Linked DNA regions of Schizosaccharomyces pombe. The gene in region 1 interacts genetically with each later gene. Each region holds a gene or a part of one and is shown in the gene's direction. Other genes may lie near its edges.

Evidence for each region. A genetic interaction does not mean that the proteins touch.
Region 2: mutations in SPOM_SPCC663.09C (region 1) and irc20 together harm fitness more than expected from each alone (negative genetic interaction), as found in Schizosaccharomyces pombe (one large-scale study listed by BioGRID).
Region 3: mutations in SPOM_SPCC663.09C (region 1) and hst2 together harm fitness more than expected from each alone (negative genetic interaction), as found in Schizosaccharomyces pombe (one large-scale study listed by BioGRID).

The regions. Positions count from the first base shown.
Region 1 is NC_003421.2:1,648,157-1,652,092, reverse strand, and holds SPOM_SPCC663.09C (dehydrogenase), read left to right. Parts: upstream 1-1,752; 5' UTR 1,753-1,803; coding exon 1,804-2,565; 3' UTR 2,566-3,053; downstream 3,054-3,936. Other genes in the region: trm44 (tRNA (uracil-O(2)-)-methyltransferase), read right to left, coding at 1-821; SPOM_SPCC663.08C (short chain dehydrogenase ), read left to right, coding at 3,332-3,936.
Region 2 is NC_003424.3:4,657,020-4,664,343, forward strand, and holds irc20 (ATP-dependent DNA helicase), read left to right. Parts: upstream 1-2,077; 5' UTR 2,078-2,236; coding exon 2,237-5,558; intron 5,559-5,577; exon of another isoform or gene 5,578-5,598; coding exon 5,599-5,864; intron 5,865-5,902; coding exon 5,903-6,102; intron 6,103-6,144; coding exon 6,145-6,185; intron 6,186-6,225; coding exon 6,226-6,524; 3' UTR 6,525-6,824; downstream 6,825-7,324. Other genes in the region: ornithine decarboxylase Spe1, read right to left, coding at 1-999.
Region 3 is NC_003421.2:1,326,762-1,331,290, forward strand, and holds hst2 (histone deacetylase, Sirtuin family, NAD-dependent Hst2), read left to right. Parts: upstream 1-2,190; 5' UTR 2,191-2,336; coding exon 2,337-2,415; exon of another isoform or gene 2,416-2,417; intron 2,418-2,472; coding exon 2,473-2,849; exon of another isoform or gene 2,850-2,916; coding exon 2,917-3,459; 3' UTR 3,460-4,029; downstream 4,030-4,529. Other genes in the region: ribosome quality control complex subunit Rqc2, read right to left, coding at 1-1,369, 1,415-1,546. UniProt on the Schizosaccharomyces pombe protein: NAD-dependent histone deacetylase, which could function in telomeric silencing, cell cycle progression and chromosome stability.

The DNA.
Region 1 (3,936 bases):
TTTGATGAATAAGTTTGTTTCCACAATTCTATAAGAAATGCTGCAATAGCCAAATCTTCGAAAACGTGTTTACCAGGATCCGTTTTTTCTACCCAATTGTCAACAAGTTGCTTGGCGTATTTATCTTTCAGAATAACATAGGTATCTTGAAACTTGTTTCTTTCCACAACAGTGTCGTGAAGCATGCGTTTTTGGTACCCTTCCACTGCCCCCTTGCAATGCTTGTGTAAAACAAGTAAAAGCATATGAGCTGTTCGCAATAAACGGGAAGACAATTCCCTTTGAAAATCCTTTTCTACTAAATATAAAACCTCAACACTTGATCCTTTGTAATGAAAAGCAATTCCAGCTACTGCGGGATGATAGTATGGAAGATGATTATAGGGCTGTTCCAAACTTTTGTCCAGGTGAGGTAAGTACATTAATATACGATCATTTTCAAGCTTCTCATGTAGCACAACAACCGTTTGGTCCATTGTCGCATCCAAATTAGTATTACGAGGAATAATTCGACGATCGATCCACCTTGAAATTTGGTACCTTTCGTCAAGATTTTCGAAAACTGATTTCTGCTTGTTTAGAATTGAATCATCCTCTTGAGAATCAAGAATTATGTCTGTTCGCATGATAACACTGCTTGTCCGCTCTGGATGATAGACTAATTCTATCATCATTTTGTCAAATACCTCAGCTGCATAGCAGGTATCGTGCTCCAAAATGGATTGCCATTGGTAAGATGACTGCAAGTCATAAGGAACAGGTGGATCACATGTCAAAGCATTTTTTGGTTCTCGCGGCTTCCAATACGCAGGAACCTTCATAAATGCAATGCGCAAAAACCTTTCAATTGAACAAGTACGAAAGTACTGTTAGCAGAAAAAAAAATGTCGGAAACTCTAGCGCTTAATTTTAAGCATGTTTAAGGAACGCTTAATATACGTTAAATAAAATACGGATGCGTTGGAGATTTCAAAAACATTTGAATCTGTGTCTTTTCCTGTAGTAAAAAGGGAGAAAGGATTGAATAAATGGTTTGCTCAAAGTTTAACTAGCATTTCCATGAGTTCAGGAATTGCTAAAGGGGAACTTAAGGGTCTAAGCTCCTTTCAAATGAGTAAACAGGTAAATATTAATTCCATAAGGTAAACTTTGCGAATTTTTTTATTCGCAAATTTCCATCCATTTTGTATTGGTCATATAGTCGTAAAGAAGCCTAATCTTGAGATGCTGTAAAACTTCATGTCATATAATCTTACTAAGACACTCTATATACGATTCTCTCTTTCTCCTCAACAAAAATATTATCTTACAGAGGGTTTAAATTGGTAGAGCAAATTGACCTAAGAGGTGAACCAGTAACCTGAGAAAAAATTGCAGCTTCGATGTATGTATGAGATAGATTCTGTAGTTGTTTTATTATAATCTGACAAGTTCTTTCTACCGGAAGATTTCAAAAACGAGGAAAAGTAGTTCTTAAAATTTTTTCATCCTTTACTACGCTCTACAATCAAAATTTTCGATTTCATTAATTAACACGGCTTCTACTTTTTTTATTTTATGCAAGTCCCATATAAAAAGACTGTTAATATCAAGCAGCAAATACCGATAGAATTTTGTAGAATGAAATTTGACGCTTTTGGTTGAGAAAATCAAACGTGTGCAAAATGTCACAGCTCTTCACACGTAAACGAAATAGCGAACAAACACTCCTTATCAATAAAAGTACAGCAAAACACCAAGGAAGTGTCAGTTACTATTAACCAAAAACTAATTGAGAAACGACTTTGAGATTGTACTATAAAGATGGCTACTACCAACAAAGTTTACTTTATTGCAGGAGGAAATCGTGGTATTGGACTCTCTCTTGTCAAAGAGTTAAGCAGTAGAGAAGGAACGACTGTGTTTGCGAGTGCTCGCAAACCCGAAGCTGCTACTGAATTACAAGAATGGAGCAAATCTCATCCTAATGTTAAAACTGTTGAATTAGATGTCACATCTCAGCAGAGTGCCAATGAAGCTGCTCAAAGCGTTGCGAAGGCGGTCGATGGAATTGATGTTCTTTGGTTGAACTCTGGTATTTGTCAATCTTACTATACAGTTATGGAAGCACCTGAAGAAGTTTGGAATGCTCATTATCAAACCAATGTTTTAGGACCTATCCATGTGTTCAAAGCTTTTTATCCGTTGTTGACAAAGAAAAAAACCAGACAGGTTATCTTTACTTCCAGTGAATGCGGCTCAATGGGCGACTTTCGTGCTACTGGATTCTCTGCCTACGGTCAGTCCAAGGCAGCAATCAATTTCACTATGAAGGAACTTAGTGTCGAACTAGCTGATGAACACTTCACATTCATTTCCATTCATCCTGGAGTAGTAAAGACTGATATGAATGCTGATGCTATCAAAAAATTTACTGAAACATCTCCCGAGATGCTGACTTACTTAAAAAAGGTTACTATCATACCCGAAGAAAGCGTTTCATCCATGCTTAAGGTGGTTGACAATTTGAAACCCGAAAACAACGGGTCTTTTTATAGATATGACGGGACCATTATTCCCTTTTAGACATATCTTTTGTTAGTCATGATGGTTTTGATGCCCCTTTTTAAAGATGTTTTTGCAGTCTAGATTACAGCACGATGTTGTGTTCAAACAATCGTTCTTTTTTGTTGAATTTACATGCCCTTACAAATATTTACAAGCCTTCAGAACTTTAAAAAAGCTTAACATAACTATTTAGTGAGCATGGACATCTAAAAGATGTGTTTCATGTAACAAATTTGAGTATTCATTCGTATAAGGCTTATCGTCCAAAAAATGACTCCCGAGTGATCGATCATCTTACGGCTATCTTGTTTTTTTATAAATTTATTTTTTGGTGGAGCAATTTAAAGAGTCGTTTGTTTGTACCCAATTTAAAGCTTTTCTATACGACTGGCAACTCAGCATTCTCATGTGAGTAACTTCAAATACATATCATCTATATGATGCTTTGTCAAAGAAACCAGAAACAGAAGAATAATTTAACTGAAATTGATTAATTTATTAAAGCGGAATTAAGGGAATATGTTTAAAAAACCGTCTAAATAGGTTGTAAATGTATTTATATTGTCTTCTAATACAAAGTACAATAAGTTCTATACGATGAATTTTTATGAACTTGTCGCTGAGTATATTCAATTATGTAAGCATCAAAATTCACGGTTCAAATCACGTAAGCATAATGATTTGAAGAATTGGTATATAAGCATGAAGTTGATGATAAATTGCCGACACCAAATTATCCACTTTTCAAACGGATTCAAGGATCATTCAAACATTGTGTTAGAATATGTCTACTACCAACAAAATTTACTTTATTGCAGGAGGAAATCGAGGCATTGGACTCTCTCTTGTTAAGGAATTGAGCAACAGAAAAGGAACAGTTGTATTTGCAAGTGCCCGCAAGCCTGGAGCTGCTACTAAATTACAAGAATGGAGCAAGTCTCATTCCAATGTGCACATTATTAAGTTAGATGTCTCCTCTCTAGAGAGTGCCAATGAAGCCGCTCAAGAAGTTACAAAAGTAGTTGATGCAGTGGATGTTCTCTGGGTAAATTCAGCCGTTTTCCATTCTTTTGGTCCTGTCGTAAATACTCCTGATGATGTCTGGAACTCTCACTATAAAACCAATGTTTTAGGACCAATTCATGTCTACCAAGCCTTTTATCCTCTTATAAAAAAAGGAAGATCTAAAATCATTGTTTTTACTTCATCATTAGCTGGATCCATGGGAGCTTTCTTCCCTTCAAGTCAATCTGCTTATGGCCAATCTAAGGCTGCCTTAAATTATACGATGAAGGAAATTAGTTTTGAGCTACAAGATGAAGGATTCATAGTGATTTCAATTCACCCCGGAGCTGTCCGAACCGATTCAGCTCAAGAAATTGTAAATCA
Region 2 (7,324 bases), on another chromosome or scaffold:
ATAAACACCATCGTTTACGTAATACATCACCTTCTCTTCATCATCAAGCTTCCGTTTGGCAATTACATTGACAGCCAAAGTAAACGAAGAAGAGACGAAAAAGCGACCGGGCTCAGAAATAACACGGATGGAGGGATCAAAATAAGTATCCAAGGCAGAGCGAATAAGGTCTGCTACGCCATCAAAGCTGTCATTCATGAAACCACCACCAATGTCCAACAAGTCAAAATTAAATCCCCTTTCAAGTCCCTGATCAAATACCTGACGAGATCGTTGGATAGCATCCAAAAATGCTGAGGGATCATAGCTTCCTGACCCAACGTGAAAGCTAACACCGACGACATTTAACTCCAGGGACTTTGCGATGTCTAGCAGCTTACCAGTATCATCGAGAGAAGCACCAAACTTTAGACTGAGACGGCAAAGACTATTGGAATCATCGGTAGAAATACGAAGAAGAAGACGTGAGTTGGGATGATGTTGTTTCACCTTGTACAGCTCATCGGCATTATCAAAAGTCATCAGATTAATGCCTTTAGAAGCAGCATAGCGCACATAAGTTATGGCTTTACAAGGATTGGCGTATACAATTCGATCAGGGGATACACCTAAGCCAAGAATTTGTTCGAGTTCACCCTTAGAAGCACAGTCAAAACCAGTTCCAAATTTATTAAGCAATGCAAGTACCTTAGGATCAGGATTACATTTGACTGCATAAAATGGTTGAACACGAGGTAATTTAGCATGCCAACGAAGAAGTTGGCGATATACTCCGTTCAAATCAGCAACAAAAAATGCATCAGAGTCAGCGGGTTCACCACGGACAGCTGCACGCTCAATTTCCTCAATCGTGTTTTTAAACGCCTCACCAATCGCCTGGCGAGACGATCCAGGCGAAGACCATGTCACCACTGAGTCAATTGGTTTAACATGGCCAAGTAATTCCGTCGTACGCAACGACTCGCTGACGAGCATATTCTTTTCCATAATAGCAGGCATCGTGTAAGTAAGCTTTTTCTCTTCTAGAAATTCCGAGATCACTAAATTGAATCGTTGAATAATTTTTCTTCGGATACAAGCTAAACAAACGTTTTGTTTGTCAACTGCTCGCTTTACAATAATTTTACTATTTCAAATCAATCAATGATTTGAAATCTGCTGTTGATCAAAAAGTCCTTATTCGAGAGATTGTCTTAAATAGGAGACGTAGACGGAAATTTGCACTTTTATATACTTTTGGTGGTCGCGCAAAAAGAGCGTTTATCCTTCCAGATTCTTTTTCTTACCCACTTGTCACTGTTTTCTGCTAATTCCCAATCGTGTTGTTGGTTAAGGGTAAGTTCAATTTTGCAATGTGTGCGTACATAAAAAAATATTACACACTAGTAGAATTAACCTTAGTTTAGCGTTTGTCTTATTGACATAATAGTCTAACAAATCGAATTGCAATGTAATACGGTAAACGCAGTTTGGTTTAACAATATTTGCGACGACAAGAATCCTTCAAACTAGGATATTTCTTTAATATGTATACAATCTTTAGTTTATATTTTGTACTTTAGTTTATGACAATAACAATAATCTTTGTCCAGTGAAGGTGACATCACTTTTAAAAACTTTCCTACCAGTTTACGTTTTATTTAGAATTTATATTTTTTTGCTAATTGAATTAAACTTGGTAATCGATATATACTTAAAGGATGAGCACAGTGTTTTAGCAATAAGGAATAGTGTGTTTGTACAATACCGAGTAAAAAGGGCTCTTTCTTTTAGCCAGCAAATGAGATATTAAGTGTATCGGTAATTTTAATAGTATTTACAATTTACTTACTAATTAACGTAGATGTTATTTCTTAGGTAATTTTGAGTTCTAATTCGTGTTTGTACTGATTCAACCGTGAATAATAGAATTCCCTTACAAACGATTTATCGATATTTACCTTGTCGTACTTTTAAACCAAAAAAAAAAAGAGGGAAGAAAGGTGGGGAAAAAATACCAAAGTAATATTCGACTCTGCAAGCTTTAGCAAAAAAAAAGTGGCACATGTTTTAATCAAGACACTTTTTGCCCACAACTAAGAACAAAAGCACATAACACAATGCCTACCCTTTTGTGTTCTTGAGGGTTTATATATTTTCGTTTATTTCTTTGTACATTAAAGAATTCTATTCATTCTAAAATTTTTAAGTCTATTGGTTCAAAACACGACTGTATTTAATTAAGAGAGGGAACATTATGGACCGAACTAAGAGGCGAAAAATAGAGAAGGAGGCTTCCTTACTAAATGAAAGAAACAACCTTTTGGAAAGTGATTTCGCCAATTGCTACCGTGCATTCCAGCACCAACTCAAGCTAGACCAGCAGATATGGCGTGGACCAGAGGACGAGTTAAATCGGCTAAAGTCTACTATTTATCCTGTCGTTTTTTGGGTTGATGGATCTGAGAAACTACATGCATATAGTTTTACTCAAAGAAAAATTTCATTGGCCAAAAACTTGATTCCTTTGTTTTCTGTCGACTTGAATAAGGATACTTACTCTGCTTTAAAAGCACCTCTCAAAATTTGGAGTAAGCTTTGGGAGGATAATAGGCGGCTGAAGAAAATTATAAAATACACATCTTATGTTACTGTAAAAGGATCCGAGTTAATTTTGTCGTTTGGCATTTCCATACTCGACTCTTTTCTTGCCCCTCAAGATGCGATTCTTTCATCTGGATCATCTTCCTCATACACTGCTTTACTAGACTATACGTTCCTTCCGTCTGAAGATGAGGAATATTCTTGTTTAGATATTAACACTGCACTATTTTACGATTGTGCAAGAAAATTGGCAAAAAGCCTACGTTTCGCCAATGTATCACGCGATCCAAGGCTTTCTTCGGAACTTTTACCATTTCAAATGCGTGTTTTAGAATGGATGAAACGAAGAGAAGAAGAGAAATTCCTAACCTCAAATGATTTACCACCTCTATGGTACCATTGCAAAAGTCTTTTTGATGATCGAATGGTTTACGTTAATCATGTTTACGGCTATATGACATTTTCGAAAGAAAAAACATATTTGCTTGCGTCCGGTGATATACGTGGAGGCATTTTAGCCGATGAAATGGGCATGGGAAAAACTTTGGAAGTCTTAGGATTAGTTTTGCATCATCAGTTGCCAATTTCTTTGACTGATACTTGTACTTTCGATCAGGTCGTCGGAAAAAATGTAAAGTATTCCAAGGCCACCCTAATAATTACGCCTTCTACAATTCTCGATCAATGGTTATCTGAGATAGATTTGCATGTGCCATCATTGAAAGTATTCCATTACCAAGGAATCCGAAAATCCAATGGTTTGAAATCAGCTAAAATTTTTTTGGATTGTGATATAGTGGTAACATCTTATTCTGATTTACGGTTTGAGCTATTGTACACTGAATCTCATTCCAGGACCTTAAGACATGAAAAGCGACATGTTTCTCCAAAGTCTCCATTGATTGATGTATGTTGGTGGAGAATTTGTGTTGATGAAGCTCAGATGGTTGAAACTTCACAGAGTAATGTCGCACAAATGATTTATCGCATACCTCGTGTCAATTGTTGGACTGTAAGTGGAACTCCCGTACGTAGTGAAGTTGATGACCTTTTTGGCCTTTTATTTCTTCTTCGCTACTCCCCTATGTATTTATACAAAAAACAAGCTTGGATGCAAATTATAGAGAAGAAACGTGTTCGTGAATTTTGCGATCTGTTTGGCTCCCTTGTATGCAGACATTCTAAACAGGACGTTGAAGAAGAATTAAAATTACCTCCTCAACATCGAATCTGCATGACTACAAGACTTAGTGTAGTAGAAGAAACGAACTACCAGGATTTATTATCAGAGGCGGCCAAGTCTTTGCACTTTTTCAAAGACAGAAATTTGGATTTGTGTGACGAAGAATCTATGAGGCGTTGGTTGGTTCGTTTACGACAGGCATGTTGCCATCCGCAGGTTGGATTTGGTAACAAATCCGCATTTGGAGGTGGACCCATGAAAAGCATTAATGATGTATTAGTTTTTATGTTGGAACAAACAAACTCTACATTCTCCTCGTTAAACAGGAAGCTTTATTCCGATAAGATTATTGTTGGTCAAATATATGATCATATTAAAGACTATAATAAAGCATTGGCTATTTGGTCTGAAGTCAGAATACCTGTCGAGCTCGCTGTCAAAGAATTAGAAAATGTTATTTACAACTCTAAATATGAGGACCATGGTAAAAATTTACCGATTAATTATTTTGGTTTGGATCATTTCATTCATCTGCGTGTTTGGTATGTTCTATTGCATAAAATATACTTTTTTATAGCAAGCGCTTATTTTTCTTTAAAAAACGAAAAGTTTGAAAATGAATTTTATTTGCTCGCGCAGGATTTAAGAAGGAAGATTATGAGTGATGTGATTATCAAAACCAGCAAGCACCTTGAAGAGTTTTCAGAAAAATTTATTCCAAAGAAACTTGTCAAAATACCACGATTACAGAAATCTTACGCAAAAGGTCTCATAACCGGACATGGTATAATTGAAGACTATAATAGACTTTATAAAGAGTTGAATGATCAAAAGGAGGTGCTTATAAAATTTAGAGATCGGCTTATCCATTTGATGAAACTTCCACTTCTGGATCAAGAATCGGATCCGACCGGCGATGAATACGAAGAATCATTGAATGCGCAATCAGAGATATCCTATTGTATTGATGTTTACCGTCAAATGCTTTCAGATCGAGTAGCGGCAGTCAGCGGTACTATTAATACCTTTGTGTCTCATGAAACAGAACTTGAGAAATACAAACTTATAGAGAGTATAAAAAAATCGGAGAAATCGTTAGACAAGCAGGCTGAAGAACGTGATAAAAAATATTTGCTTTACTTTGAGGAAAGGGAAGAAGCAAGGCCAAAAGCAGATCAATACGGATCATTAATAAATATAGTTTCAAGACTGTTAGATGCATCAAATAGATCCACCTCAAGTTTTGAAACTTCTAAAAACATGGAAGAATATGAACGGATTGATGCAATGGCAAAGGAGCAATCTAGAATTTGCCAAAAATTGGAAAAAGAATTGAGTATAATTCAGTTGACTTATAATTCAAGGATTGAGTACTATAAACAGCTGCAGGAAATTTCTGACTCTTTGATGCCTCCTCCCGTTTCAAATATCAGTTTAAACAATTACGTTAAAGACGACGAAAAAAAACAAAAATTTTTGAACTCTGTTATAATTAAAGCTTCGGTGATTTTGGAAAAAGAAATTTCAGAAAAGCAGGACGAAGCAAGTCAAACAACAAACGTAGCAGAACTCGTCAATCAAAAAATATCCGAAATGAATATACCTGGACATATCCATCTGCTGCGAGAGCTAGAAGAGGAAAAAAGCAATACCCAACGTAAAATTGCTCACTTCGAATCAAGGAGAAGGTATTTAACAAACCTATATGAACATATTGTCCTTAAAGCTGAATCTCATCAGATTTGTATAATTTGTCGTGATATAATTAAGCAAGGTTTTATAACAACTTGTGGTAAGTATTTGTTGGATCGTTTATCTAGTTAACTTGTTAGGCCATTTGTACTGTAGTTTTTGTTTGGAAGCGTGGTTGAAGCATAGTTCGTCGTGTCCAATGTGCAAAACCAAATTGAACAAAAATAATGCTTACTATATTGGCGAAAGTAGGGATATATACTCTCGTCAAGAGTTTGTCACTGGTTTCAACAAACGAGACGAAAGGCTTGAAATTCTCGACGATGAAGCATACAGGCAAATTTCTAATATGGAGTTAAAGGAGTCATTTGGATCAAAAATTGACACAATATCTAAACATCTTTTGGTAAGCAACATTTGTATTTAGAGTGGATCTAACTTTAGTATTTGAAACATAACGAACTTTATCCTAAAGTTGTTGTATTCTCTCAATGGCTTGATGTTTTGGATGTTTTGCACAAGTCATTTGAAGCGAATGGTATCGTCTTCATACGTTTTGATGGAAAGTCAAAGAACACTTGCCTAAAAAGGTTTAAAGAAGAACGTAGCTTACAAGTACTTACTTTACATGCAAGATCGCAATCGTATGTTTAAACTGTTTAATTATTTGTTCTAATCTTCATTAGATCTGGTTTGACGTTAACAAATGCCACTCACGTTTTCATGTGTACGTCGATATCTGTATTAACAAGTTTTAACATTGACAGGTGAACCATTACTAAATAGTGGAATTGAAATGCAAGCAATTTCACGCGTTCATCGAATTGGGCAAACTCGTCCGACGTTTGTTTACTACTACATTGTGGAAGATACTGTTGAAGGTCATATTTTAAATCTTTCATTGACCAAACATGAGCAGCTTGACAAACTAGGTTTGGATGTACCGCTAGTTGGTAATATCAATCGCACTACTGAAGCTAGCAGCGGCGGAGAACAAGTTGATGCCGCAGAAATTAAAGATTGTCTTAAAATGGCTTTAAAGCGGCTCACCACAGAGGATTCATGAACATGAAAAAATTGATTTTAGAGAATGATGCTGATAGGTCAGGTTTAAACAGAATAAACGGCAATACTGTACTACTTATTGGTGACAGTGATGTATGGTTAATCCTGAAGTACCCCTTCGCTCAATACTGTTCAATTATTCATCTGTTATTAAAGCAAAGCACGAAGCATTAGTTGGTTTTCACTGGTTAGATTGTGCAAACACTTAGAGTCCGAATTACAGGAAACTTATACTTAATTTAACATTGTACTGTTGTATTAATTATAACCACTTTTTTAAATACAAACCTATGTAAATATTAGAAATTAATATAGCAAGAAAGGTCGCATTTCTCATTCTGGGTATTGGATTAAAACATATTGTCTTTGTTTTTCATTGATATCAGCGATGTTACTGGGCTATTAAATGCGATGTTAATTTATAACTATAACTATAGAATGAACATACGTTTGTGCTACGAATATACACTCGTTGTTATTAAGTTATCTTTTTTTTTTTAATAAAAATGAACAGGACTATTTGAACTATGAAACGTAAGTTCTTTTAGCATCATATTCAATTATAGTTAAACAAAATTGTTTATTACTATTAAAATAACACTGATTATCTTTGGAGACATACTTTATATCAAATTACAATAATTATTAATAAAACTCATTGCAATTTATTTTTCTCAACTGCGTTAGCTAATTCACTGCTACGCGATATAACTAATTAACGATTGCTGCTTCAGCTCGATAATTCCTTTTCGTCAAGGATACATTGCGATATAGTCTTAAGAGAGCAAACTGCATAAAGCC
Region 3 (4,529 bases), 320 kb from region 1:
ATAAATCCAATTCAACGGCAATAAACTTTGACGAAACTTTTCCTTCCTTCACTTTATTATCATCATCAGAATCATCCAAATCATCATCGCTGGTTTCTGAACTTTCATCAGAATTATCTACAGACTCTGGATTAGGAAGAAAAACGGTAACGGCGTTTTTTATAAGTTTAAGGGGAATTTGAATAGCAGCAGCTACCGGACTTCTTCTTTTTTGAGATTGAATTAACTTTTCAATATCTAACCAATCCATTCCTTGGTTCAACAGAGAGTTAATGTATGAGATAATAGCCTCAACAAGTTCAGGGTTCATCTCAATTGCCTGAGCCCTCAACGCACAAGTAGCTTGGGCATCTTGTAAACTTTGAAGTTTTCGTGCTTGATCCTCTTTAGCCGATTCAAGCCTTCGCTCAGCTGTCGCTAGGCGATCATGTGCTCGTTTTTTTAGCTTTTGTGCTTCGATAGAAGAGAAAAACTCGTCAACGCATTCGTTATAGGTTGGAAACTCCATGCACTTTCTGTTTGCCTGAACGAGCTGTAAAGGCTGAAAAGGGTGAAAATCTTCGTATAATGTAGTACATTCTTCAGGGTGTTGAGGATCAGCAGCATTTGTTAGTGCTTGCTCCAGTGAAAATATATAACCCTTTACTGGGGGCTTATTAACTGCAGCTAATATGGAGTCGGCTTCTTGAAAAGCAGCTAATAAATCGTTTTTCTTGGTTTCGTCTGCACAGAGCTGGCAAGCAGGGAATAGTGGATCTAATTTTGAACGCCGAAGACAGTGCTCTATAAGTGCATTACCATATTCACCTAATCTTATAGTCAATGCTTTTCTAAGAGAAACTGGTTTGGGTACTTTAATCGGCTTTGTAGAAGAGGATAGTTGTTGGTCAGGTAAAGGTTCGTTAATAGAAGTAGGAGAAGCATAAGCAGTGCTTATTTCATCCAAAAGGATATTTAATCGTTCAGCTGTCATATGAGGAATAGTAGACTGAGATTTATTGTCATTAACGAGATTATTTTTGTCTAAATTGTACTTTTGCCCTACGGCATAAACTTGGTCTTTATCGAAGGTGACCACTCGTAAAAGAGACAGAATCTTGTAATGGCCGTCTAATAGTAAAACATTTCCAGCAGCGAAAAATTCACAAACCAGATAGTACGTCCAATCGGGGTCTTGATCATTCGCACCACCTCCAAATGTGAAAACGAGTACTCGATCAGTACCCAACTGAGAGACACCAGTTAACCTTCTAGATTTTATATGTTTTCGTAGCTTCGTTACAAACCCAGACAAAGGGGCATTTTCTCGATCAAATTTTGTTAAATGAGCACGAAACCCACTTTCAATAACAATAGAATATTTTGCATCCTTTAACGGGTTAGTAAAAAAATATTTATTACTTTCTACACATACTTGTTTACCAAACTTCAACAAGAAGGTACGCGCATTTAGATCATAAAAGTTATTCAAGCGACACCCAACCACTTGTTCTCGTAATTCCGCAGCAATCGCAGCAATATCTAAAGCGGAAAATCTTTGCTTCATTTACGTCTATAACACCTATCTAAATGAATTTCTGCGTTACAACAAAATGAAGTATAGGCTCTAGTTAGAATGTAAACATGTGTATAACGTAAGTGAAACTGAAGCACTAACAAAGCGCAATGATATCCGCAATATGTAATAAGGAAAATTATAGCACACCATTGCACCATAAAACGGTGTACATTAGCAGCATTAAAATTCTTAGCGCAAATTTGGATTGTTCTCTCAAATTCATTATTTCTTTCCCGACGATGATTCTTTAATCGTACATTTATAGTCGTACATGACACTGATTATAAAGATAAAAAATAGTTAACTAATGATAAACTTATAAAAAACTTTGACACCTAATATGTCAAACTGGTGTGACCAACCCAATAAGTAAAACCAGAAAGTCAAGAGTTATCGTTGCTGAATCTAATCAAGTGAGCCGAAAGTTGATTAATCATAATTTCTGATTACCCCGTATCTCATTTTTTCAACGACATCCAGAAACTCTTAATTGAAAAAGATGGCTCTAAATGTTTACCAAATAACGAGTACTAAAGTCGAATACAATAGCCTTTTAAACAGTATAATGCAGTTTAATGGAGCATCGGTAATGGCGTTTGATATTTTCAACGAGTAAATAATAATGGAAATTTGGCGTACCCACAAACTTTGTGCATTAACATATTGATTTGTTCATATCTGAGAATTTTAAGTGATCCAATTTTTGAAAGAGTTTGAGTTGGGATTTTTAAGGTAAATCGATTATTGGCTTGCTTTGGTTGTTCTCAGAAATTCGACAATGGTGAAAAACACTGTTAAACACGTCGACTCTTCCAAGCATTTAGAGAAAGTTGCATCCTTAATCAAAGAAGGAAAAGGTAATGACTTTTAATTTTCTTTCCTTGACCATACTAATGCGATTTTATCGAAAATAGTAAAGAAAATATGTGTTATGGTTGGTGCAGGGATCAGCACTGCAGCAGGAATCCCTGATTTTCGAAGCCCTGAGACTGGAATTTACAATAATTTACAAAGATTTAATCTTCCTTACGCAGAAGCTGTTTTTGATCTATCTTATTTTCGAAAAAATCCGCGTCCATTCTACGAATTGGCTCACGAATTGATGCCTGAAAAGTATAGACCAACTTATACTCATTATTTTATACGCCTTTTACATGATAAAAGGTTACTACAAAAATGTTATACCCAAAATATTGATACCTTGGAGCGTTTGGCAGGTGTGCCTGACAAAGCTCTGATTGAAGCACATGGCTCTTTCCAATACAGCCGCTGTATTGAATGTTACGAAATGGTAAGGATTGTTTTTGAAAAAGTTAAAGTGAAAAAGCAGAAATTGGTTTTACTGACGGAAAACAAAGGCGGAAACGGAGTATGTTAGAGCATGTATTATGCAAAAACAGGTCCCTAAATGCAACAGTTGCAAAGGTCTCATCAAACCAATGATTGTGTTTTATGGCGAGGGATTACCAATGCGTTTCTTCGAGCACATGGAAAAGGACACAAAAGTCTGTGATATGGCACTGGTAATTGGAACAAGTTTACTTGTTCATCCATTCGCGGATTTGCCTGAAATAGTGCCAAATAAATGTCAACGAGTTTTGATTAATCGAGAACCAGCTGGCGACTTTGGGGAGAGAAAAAAGGATATCATGATATTGGGGGATTGTGATTCCCAAGTACGTGCGTTATGTAAACTATTAGGATGGTCTGATGAATTGGAAAAGTTGATTGATACGAGTGTTGAAACGCTGACAGAAGAAATATCTTTACTTTCTGTTGACTCTACAATAGAAAAGAATGCCTCTGAACAAAAGAAAGACGATAACTCGGTCAATCCTTTCACTAAAATAGAGGAGAAGAAAAAAGACGAGGTGACGCTGTTAGTTTCTGATGATGAATAGTTCAGTTATTCGGGAAATTTTCTATATTGTCATGATTAAAACTAGGAGATCCCTATATTTATTATACTAAGAAAACGGAAATTCACGATTCGGTTTGATGAATATTTGAATCTACACATACGATTCGTTTTCTTTTAAACAAGTTTAAATACTTTTTTTTATTTCAGCAATTTTATAATATTTCCTTCCAGGCGTCCTTTTGATTGCCTCTTAACCATGAATCATATTGCTCTCTTTATGAGTTGTATGCTGGGTTAAACTAATGCGAAAAGGATAACAAAAAGGGGGTTCTGTATACGATCTCGATCAAACTCATGAAGATGCCCTCGCATTTTCGTGAAAATAACTTGCATTTTTTTTAAAATTGGCGTCCATCTATATACGCAATTTGGGTTATGAGAAAGTTGCGCTAGAATAATTGATAATGGTTTCAAATTTACTGCACTGTAATCTAATACAATCTTTGTCGAAACCTTTTTTCTGTTCAGTTTGGAACATATAGTTCTGAAATGGGAGATTATTCATTTTCATTTAATAAAACTTTGAATTATCCAAGAATTGGAAATAGGAATAATTAATCAAATTGTTCTTTTTGTAGTTTCATTCAAGAATAATGCTTCCTTTGAAAAACTAAAGCGTTTTCTACGAATTGTATATTGTAACAGGGGACGGTGTATAAACCAGTTAGTCCATCATCATAACCAGTTCTGATTTGAATTTTGTTCTTGTGGTCATTATTGTTCATAAAATGAACTAGAGATGTAAAGACATAATTCATATTACAGAAAACAAGTATCTAAGCGCTTGAACAATTATCAGTTAATTTTAGAACAATTATTAAATTTATATCTATTTTATCTGCATATATCTATGTACCTTTGGGTAACTTATGAGTTGTACGAATTACTGACTACATGGCTGTCACCTCCTGTTCGGTTTGCTAAGAATTTACCGATTCTAACGCTTCCTTCTACCTAGCTATACAAGATTCATGAATTTGATCTATATGAATGCTTAGCAAATAAATAATTGTTCGAAAGCCAGATATATGATTTATAATTAACGTTTTT